2 linked regions of the Daphnia pulex genome follow. The protein of the gene in region 2 purifies or fractionates together with the protein of the main gene of each other region. This does not show direct contact. Links are inferred from orthologs where the notes say so. Each region holds a gene or a part of one and is shown on either strand. Other genes may lie near its edges.

Region 1 (4,233 bases), on a different chromosome or scaffold from region 2:
GACCGCCTCCCCTCTCTCTTGTTGATGACTCAAACAAGCAGACAGAGCAAAGCTGGTGGAGACTCATCATTCGCCTTGGATCCAGCCTTGGATGATAATTATAATAGCCCCGATGCGGCTGGCGCTGCCCAGTTGACACATTTGTAAGGCTGAACTAGACGTCAAAATTAAATGTATAATGAAAAGGTCACATGCCATTGTCAAGTTCATTGCAACCAAAGTGAACTTTACCTGACCGAAAAGACGAAAAAAGAAAAATAAAATAAAAAAACTTTGGTCGAGATAAAAATCCTGGCGACGACCGTCCATCGTTATCTTCTTTTCCCCGAGAAGTTCACATACAAGATAACGACGGCGCTTTTCCTCTCTTGGATTTGTTGTATATGTATGCGCGTCTATATAGCCGTATTCCGCCTACTCCGTCTTCCGGCCCAACGCACACACATGTGTCTACTATATATACACCCAAAAGTAAAAGTAAAACAATACGAAACAACAAGTGGAGCTGGTGGATGTCACAAGAGACTCACAACTGGATCAACACCGACACAGCATTGGCTCAATAGCTACATCCTCCTACATGTTCAAGGTTGACCACAAGTTGGCTTTCTCGTCCAGTCTGGAAGGCTTCATCAATATGTAGAAACCAAAAACTTGATTGAACTTATAGTTGATGCTGCTGCTGATCTCGTCGAAACTGGCTAGTGGCTTTGACGGAGAAGCGCGTCTATTTTACAAAAAACTTTAGACTCGACGTCGCCCGATTTTTCAACCAGTCCATGACCTATGAACTCGCGACTTGCTTGTTAGTAGCTTGACCTCTCAGCAACGTATGTCGGCGAGTCCGAGAAAAATTGACTTGAATGTTTCGTGTTCCTGCTAGCGAAAATCGAACGGTCTCTTTTTCTCATTTCAGACGTAACGCATCGATTACAGTGGCTTTGAATGAATAGGAATTGCTATTTTGTGTCAAAATGTTATGGAATCATTTATTCGATTGTTGTTGAACATTGGTAGGCAAGAGAGACAAAAAAACAATCCTTCAACATTCGCAAGCATTGCAAATCACTTGCATTTTATTTAAAAAACATTCGTGATCAGCAAGACAGCAGAGTGGCGCAGCGGAAGCGTGCTGGGCCCATAACCCAGAGGTCCGTGGATCGAAACCACGCTCTGCTATAACATTTTTGTCAACATTTTGAATGATTCGCAATTTTCCTTTAACCTAAATTGTAAAGTTTATATTTTAGTGATATCATTCCAATTTTTGCAAAGTCAACCATACACTGACCTACAAATAATGTCAAATTCACTTTTTGGGATTTCACTGCATATTTTTGAGGAATAAAGTGATGCGAGAGTCATCTAGCGGCAACCATCCATAACTATCGCTTTGTTGTTATTGTTGTTTTTATTTCTAGGAATGGTGAATTGTGCCAAGATCCAATCCATCATTCCAGTTCGTCAAGCAAAAAAAAGTTTCAACATGAAATGCCCGGAATAAACTGTTGAAACATCTTGAATTGGAATCTCCACAGAAAATCTTATGTTTATGATTTTACAAAAGATTTAAATTTAATCTAAAATGGACATGGAGAATGGTTGGAGTAAACTGCCTGATCACGTTTTGTTGCAGATATTTCGATTTCTCAAAGCAGAAGTATGTAGAGCTTCATGTTTATAGTCATCATTTCAAGTTAAATTTCTTTCTCTTGATGTTTCAAGGACATACTGAAACTTTCCACCGTTTCCCAGACTTGGTACAGAGTCTCTAGAGATGAACTATTGTGGAAATCTTTCTTTAAAAGAGACTGGAACATCAGTCCGAAAATTGGAATCGCTCCGGGTACATCTCCTCTCTCATATCTATTGAATTTATCAAATTTTTTAAAATTGCTCTCATATTTATCAAATGTGTTATATCTATGACTTCTAATGTGTAAATCTCATCCTTGTTTAGGCAAAACTTCATGGTTCAGTGAATATCTGAGACTGTGGCAGCACACACCAATATTAGAAACTGAGGTATTAAAGGGCCATACACATCAAGTGCTTCATGTCAGTTTCTCGCACAATGGCAAATATTTTGCCACCTGCTCCAAAGATGGCTATGTTATGGTATTAAAAGATTACAAACACTGGTATATCTAGTACATTGCTTGAATGATGTTTGATATTTCTTATTGTGCAGCTTTGGGATGCTGGTTATCCTGCCAGAATCAAACATTATTATGATATGAAAGTGTACAGCTGGAAAAACACTCAGTTTAGTCAATTTAATGAATCAGATACCCTTCTGTTGGTATCGGGAGTTCATTTTGGTAATCACTCAAATACGGGTGAAATCGCCGTTTTCAATCTTGAGGTAAGTGCCGTAGCAGGGAGCTGCTACTTGATACATTAGATGAAAAATTAATTTAAATCAATTTTATCTTGGATTCACAGGAGAACTTTGTGATTCAGTGCAGAATGTCAAATAAGCCTTACGATTTTTTTGGTACGTGGTACAATGACAACTACCTACTATCCGGTGATTTACGCTGGCTTGCCCATCTCGTTAGTACGTCAATCGTTTGGTTGAATCGAGCTTCACAAGAGTCCGATTCGGAATTCACTTCAATCATGAACCGTATGTTCAAGTTTTATAACCGAAGCGCCTCTTCTATTCGCTCAATCACGGTGGCTAACTGCCGCTCTTTACCTCAACATCAGACGTCTTCTTCCTCGCCGACACCCTCTGGCACGTCTGACGATTGCGCCTCCAATAAAGTATTCATTTTTGATAGTCGCTGTAACTTGCAGCATAATCGTGGAGAGCGCCCTTTTAATTGATTTTGTACAGAGCTGCCACAAGACGGGGAATCCAATTTCACAGCCCGAACTTGCCGGAACCAAGACTGTAGATCCCGGTTCAGCCAAAGAGTCCTTCCAAGAAACATGTAGAAAGATCTTTTAGATATTCTGCGGGTTCTGCGTTCAGTTGCATCTTAATATTTCGCCTTATGTTTCAGCTGAAGGATCTTTGTGGCCAATCAATACTACCGATGAGTTTCAGTGCTGGCGGCGAAACTCTCCCGACGTTTCCATTTCAGGGTAATAATAACTATTGCTGAATTTTCTAAAGCTCATTTTAAACATTTTTTTTTTCAATTGTTTAGTACTACATCCGCAATGGACGATGACATAGAGGGCGATTCAAAAAGTGAAGATAACGAAGCCGGTGAGCAGTCAGGTAGATCCGATTCGCCGTTTACCAGTTCCGGAACTGGAGCACGGTCTCAACGTGCAGAATCTGAAGCCACGGACGAAGATTCAGAGGAAGTGCTGGATCCCCGCGAAAAATTCCTAATTTTCACTATGGGTTCTAGAACTTACACTCCGCATCAAATAGGTTTGTTTTATAGCGTTTTCCTTGAACCCGGAACCTTCAACAATTACGTTTTCTACTCAGGTTTGAAACGAATCACTCCGTTTACTTTTTGCAATCGCATCGACGTTGGGCCGAGTTTGGCTGAACGAGTGGCTATCCAGAGGCAAGAGCGGCAAGCTTTGGAAGAATCTCTGGCCCTTGGAATTCCTCCGTAAGAACAGGTTTCGTGGTTTAATTGATCATTTTAATTCTTTCTACATTTCCAAAATCTCCAGTCCCGAACCTGTTTGGCAGGACTTTGAGGCGGTAGCCGATCGGTTTGACCCAATTGATCATATCATCGATTTGAATGGACATATAATTGGAATGTCTTTGTCTCCAGACCACAGGTATTACTTGGGATCCTCGTTTTCATCATAATAATTATTATCGACTTCTTAAAATCCGTATATCCGATTTCAGATATTTATACGTCAATGTGCGACCCTGGCCACAAGGTTGCACTATAGAGAATCCCCTCCAACCACCGCCCATCGCCCAAGAGATCGACATACACGTAATTGATCTAGTTACATTGAAGCAGGTATAGGAACACTATTGGAAATATGGCCATTGGCCAAGTAAGAAGGTATGACGCGAGGGAAACTAATATGGTTTCACGTTTCTGCCTTTCAGGTCGGATCTTTGTTACGGGCTCATCGGTCATTCACGCCTAATGACGAATGCTTTTTTATCTTTCTGGACGTCAGTAAGGATTACGTTGCAAGGTATAGGAGATGGGCGTTTACTTTGTATTGTTTCTTTAAGTCCAATTCAATGATTCGAATCATTCTATTTATGCTGTGAATAAGTGGTGCGGAGGA
Region 2 (4,137 bases):
AGGTAATCGAAGAAAAAAGGAGGAGAAAGATAAGAAAGGAGAATGCACGATAGGTGGTGAGATTAGGAATCTGCAAAATGCCGTTAGAATCATATCCGGGGCCCCTAAGTTGTTATATCGTCACCAACCACCACCAGGGGAGGGAAAAATTGAGGGCCGTTTGGGGTTTAACGACACAGTTAAAGAAAGAAAGAGAAACCTAAAAATGAACTGATGATGATAGACAAGAAGAAACAACAAAACTTGGTTGTTCACTGGAGGGCGAAAAAGAGTAGGTCAAGATGGCTCGTTTGGAATTGGGGTTAATGAAGAAGAATCTTGACAGGGCTACACGATAATTGTCGTCGGTCGCTAATTGCGGAAAAACAAAAAGGAACGGGAGATGAACGTAACGAATGGATAATTTTTTCTCATCATCATCTCAGACCATGGTGCCTTCATTGGTGGGTGTGCTGGTGGAAGTGTGGTGTGGAGACGGGCCAATTGGCCGAGCCCAGGTACAGACGATGCCATCTTGGCAGGCGGTGATGAGGCAGTCCTCACGGAAGATGAGCGCCGTCAGCCGCTCGTGGGAGACTTTCTTACAAACGAGCGGCTCCAGCATGGGGATCTCGTCCAGTCGAGGGCAGGCTTGCGTGCCGATCAACCGGAGCGGATCAGCACAGCCCGTCACTAGCGACGGGTTCGCTGTGGTGGTGGTACCCGCAGAGGAGGAAGTGGACGAGACTGAAGAAACGGATTTCAAACCCAACGAATTGGCCGCGTTACCCGACCGATCCGAAGTGGAATTCCGGCCACTGCCAAGGCTGAAATTCTTTCGGTGGGATTTCGAGTCGGTTGCTGCTGCCTCCTGTTGCTGGCCCGACTTTCTATCGGAAAATGTCATATTCGCCAGCCGCTGAGTGAGAGATCCTGCGGCGTTGACAGGCGTGGCAGTCGCACTACTGGGTGCTGGAGAAACGGTCAAGTTGTTGACCGGGGTGATGGTGACAACGTTGTTGCTGCTGCTGCTACTACTCCGATCGCCGGAAATGGGCGTCTGGCCAGTGAATTTCAGACTAGAAGGTGGCGATCCTGGTCCTGAGACCATTGAAGCTCGGCTCCGGGAACCGTAAGGCTGTTTCAGGACGTCGTCCGTCAACTCCCAAAGACACAGCTGAGTGTCCATGGCTATAGATCCTAGACGGTAACAGGTGGCAATGTCGCTAGAGGATTTCGTTTCCGCCTCGCCGTCGATTCCGCCCGTCCCGTTCGACGTGACCGAAGTATCGACTCCTTCTTTCGACAACGACTTGGAAGACGAGGATTGAGATGAATACAGGGTCGTGAAAGGGTCGAACGCCACCACCGTGATCCAGGATCGATGGCCCTGTCCTCGGGCCACGATTCTCTTTTGTTGGAAAGACCAAACCGTCACCAAATCATCCTCGCCGCCGGCCACTACCAGCTGCCCGTCGGGTGACCAGCAGACGCAGAGCAAGCCGCCGAAAAAGGATGTTGCCAGTCCGATCAATTCCATGGCATCATAATTGAGAACGCGCAGACACCCATCCTGCGACACAACCGCCAAGTATTTCGAGCAAGGTGAGAAGGCAAAGTCGTTGATGGCGCCGTTTCCAATCACCCACCTAACAACCAAATATGGGGTTAGATGGGAGGAGTCTTTAACCTGATTTTATTAATGATTAAAAATGAAATGATGAATAATAACCTGTAAATGGGATTCCGAGTGCTTTTGGCTTTACAAGTCCAGACCGAAAAACCGGCCCCCTGCTTAAAAAGTTGATAGGTCGGAGGTGCTGGTCCACCACACGTCACATCTTCACTGTACAGATACATCTGTCCCGAAACATGAGAAACTAGGAACAAATTGGGGGAACCTGGCAGCCACTTGATACATGTTACTTTCGTCTTTTCAATTATTCTCTGAAGGAAAAAATAAATAATGTTATTGAAATTCCATAAATTTATAAAGAAAACAGAAAATCTCAAGAAACCTCTTCATTGTAAAGTTTTCCTATTTCTTTCCTTATTGGATCTACTAATTGGATTTGTCCGCCAGTGAAACCAACTAGAAGCATAACACTTTCACTGCTGATTGTTAATTTATTGATATCATGGCAAGTGGGGCTGGTTCCTTTGTAAATCCTTTTATCAACAGGCTTGGACAAGTCTGCTGGTTTCTTGGTTCCCTTGTAGGTGTAGAAGTAGAGTTCCCTTCCATAGTTGAAACATATGCGGTCACAAAAACCTGATGGATCAGATGGTAGAGACACAAAAGTAACCCTAACTGGAGGGTTTGAACCTTGACCGAGCGCAGCTCCTTGCTGGCTTTGGATGGCAGTGTAACCAGACAGCCGATTTGCCCTGGAGTATTCGGCTAATGTTATCAACTTATATACTCCCTCTCTGGTTGTGAAATGAGTTCGCACATCGTCCCGGCTGCTGTTTCCACTTACACTACCACTGTTCAGATCCGTTTGCCCAGCCATCGGTAAACAACAAACGATCCAAAAACACAAACAATAATAACCAAAACTTTGATTATTCAAACATGTCGGCTCCACCGTTTAAACAACGGTCTTCCATCGTGACGGCACCGATAATTTTACATTCGAAGGCTTTATTAAACAGTGAATCAGTCTATATATAAGCAGGATTGCTACCTGTCAACTTTTCCGGTAAATAAACTAATTTTCACTGGTGATGTAGAATTCCCTGATAGCAGACGCCCGCCATTTTGGTTGGTGATTTTTGGTTGCCATGTTGGCAATTTATATTTTCAACTTTAAAGGAATCATTTAATTTAATTTATAAAATAAAAAATATGAATAAAATAAATAAATATATTTAAATAAATATATTTTTGATACATTTTTGGCAGCACACTATTAAATTGTAATTAATCAACTGTGTTGTTCTTGCAACTTTGGACGTCTGCAATCAAAGTTTTCATTTTGACACGTGCATTTGAGTTTGAGTTTTGATTTCAGATAAATTAAATTCGAACGTTATTTTGTTCTTAAAATGGGACGTGGACGACGAGGAGGGCCTAAACGTGGCAATTACAAAAACCACGGTTCCCGTGGTAACAAATCGACTCGTGGTGGAGGTAACTTTAAAAACAAAAGGAAATTTAATCAAGATAGAGATGGAAAAAAAGATGACACTTCTGAAAGTAAAAGACAAAAGCTTCAACAAGAAAAAGAGGCTGTGCCTATTATCGAAGAAGAATCATCTAGCAGTGAATCAGAAGAAGAAGTCAAACCTTACACACAGCTGCTGTCGATGTTTAAATCCAGTAGTAGAGCACAGCAAGTTTTGACATCTGATGAAGAACAGTCAGATGAAGAGGAAGCTGAAGATATCAATGACCAATCTAATGAAGATGACATTGGCAGTGAAGAAGAAGATTCAGCTCAAGACGATGAGGAAGTAGGAGAAGAGGAAAGTGGTAGTTCAGTTGGTGTTGCTGAAGAAATTGACGAGGAAAATAGTATACATGAAGATCTTGAAGTTGAATCAGAGGAAGAAGAACATTCTGGTGATGAAGAAGAAGAAACATTATCTACGGATCCCTTCCACCTTCATTTCGACAGGGAAATAAATGAAAACCTTTTAGAAATCCTGACATCACCCAAGCCTTATGAGACTCAAGAACTGAAGTGGAAAGTTCTTGGAAGAATGGTGGTTCACCTGCCAACCAAACCTGAAAAAAACACAAGTCAACCAAAGCCTACATTACTAGGTGAAACAATAGAAAGTTATGTCATTCCTGGTAGTCTACCTGTATTGAAAACTGGAATCCCCTTGAGTGAATACGGTGTTAAATTGCAATTATGTTCCAACCTTGATACGAGGCCACTCTCGGACAACAAACAAACGGCTGAAGAACTGCTCTCCCCATTACAGCATGAGCTTTTCACTCTCGCAAATGAATACCGCGACGTTTATTATCCTGAAATGAACCATTTAAACAATGACGAGATTAGAACAGTTTACTGCCTTCACTCGTTGAATCATGTAATGAAATCGAGAGACAAAGTTCTTCTTCACAACGCCAAATTGAAAAAGGCCAAAGAAAATGGCGTTGCGACCGATGAAATAGAATATAGAGATCAAGGATTAGTCCGTCCT

The links. The genes of interacting proteins can lie anywhere in the genome.
Region 1: the proteins of WD repeat-containing protein 20-like (region 2) and F-box/WD repeat-containing protein 5-like purify together in Homo sapiens (co-immunoprecipitation; 3 studies listed by BioGRID and IntAct, counting the BioPlex papers as one, with this or other methods). This does not show direct contact. The link is inferred for Daphnia pulex from reciprocal best matches to the Homo sapiens genes WDR20 and FBXW5.

What each region holds. Positions count from the first base shown.
Region 1 is NC_060022.1:5,214,576-5,218,808, reverse strand, and holds the start of F-box/WD repeat-containing protein 5-like, read left to right. Parts: upstream 1-1,395; 5' UTR 1,396-1,585; coding exon 1,586-1,660; intron 1,661-1,725; coding exon 1,726-1,846; intron 1,847-1,960; coding exon 1,961-2,118; intron 2,119-2,191; coding exon 2,192-2,365; intron 2,366-2,445; coding exon 2,446-2,769; intron 2,770-2,842; coding exon 2,843-2,939; intron 2,940-3,011; coding exon 3,012-3,093; intron 3,094-3,158; coding exon 3,159-3,391; intron 3,392-3,451; coding exon 3,452-3,581; intron 3,582-3,645; coding exon 3,646-3,759; intron 3,760-3,832; coding exon 3,833-3,953; intron 3,954-4,045; coding exon 4,046-4,137; intron 4,138-4,221; coding exon 4,222-4,233. UniProt on the Homo sapiens protein: Substrate recognition component of both SCF (SKP1-CUL1-F-box protein) and DCX (DDB1-CUL4-X-box) E3 ubiquitin-protein ligase complexes.
Region 2 is NC_060023.1:10,107,508-10,111,644, forward strand, and holds the start of WD repeat-containing protein 20-like, read right to left. Parts: upstream 2,806-4,137; 5' UTR 2,493-2,805; coding exon 1,998-2,492; intron 1,927-1,997; coding exon 1,712-1,926; intron 1,629-1,711; coding exon 422-1,628; 3' UTR 1-421. Other genes in the region: U3 small nucleolar RNA-associated protein 25 homolog, read left to right, coding at 3,028-4,137. UniProt on the Homo sapiens protein: Regulator of deubiquitinating complexes. Activates deubiquitinating activity of complexes containing USP12. Anchors at the base of the ubiquitin-contacting loop of USP12 and remotely modulates the catalytic center of the enzyme.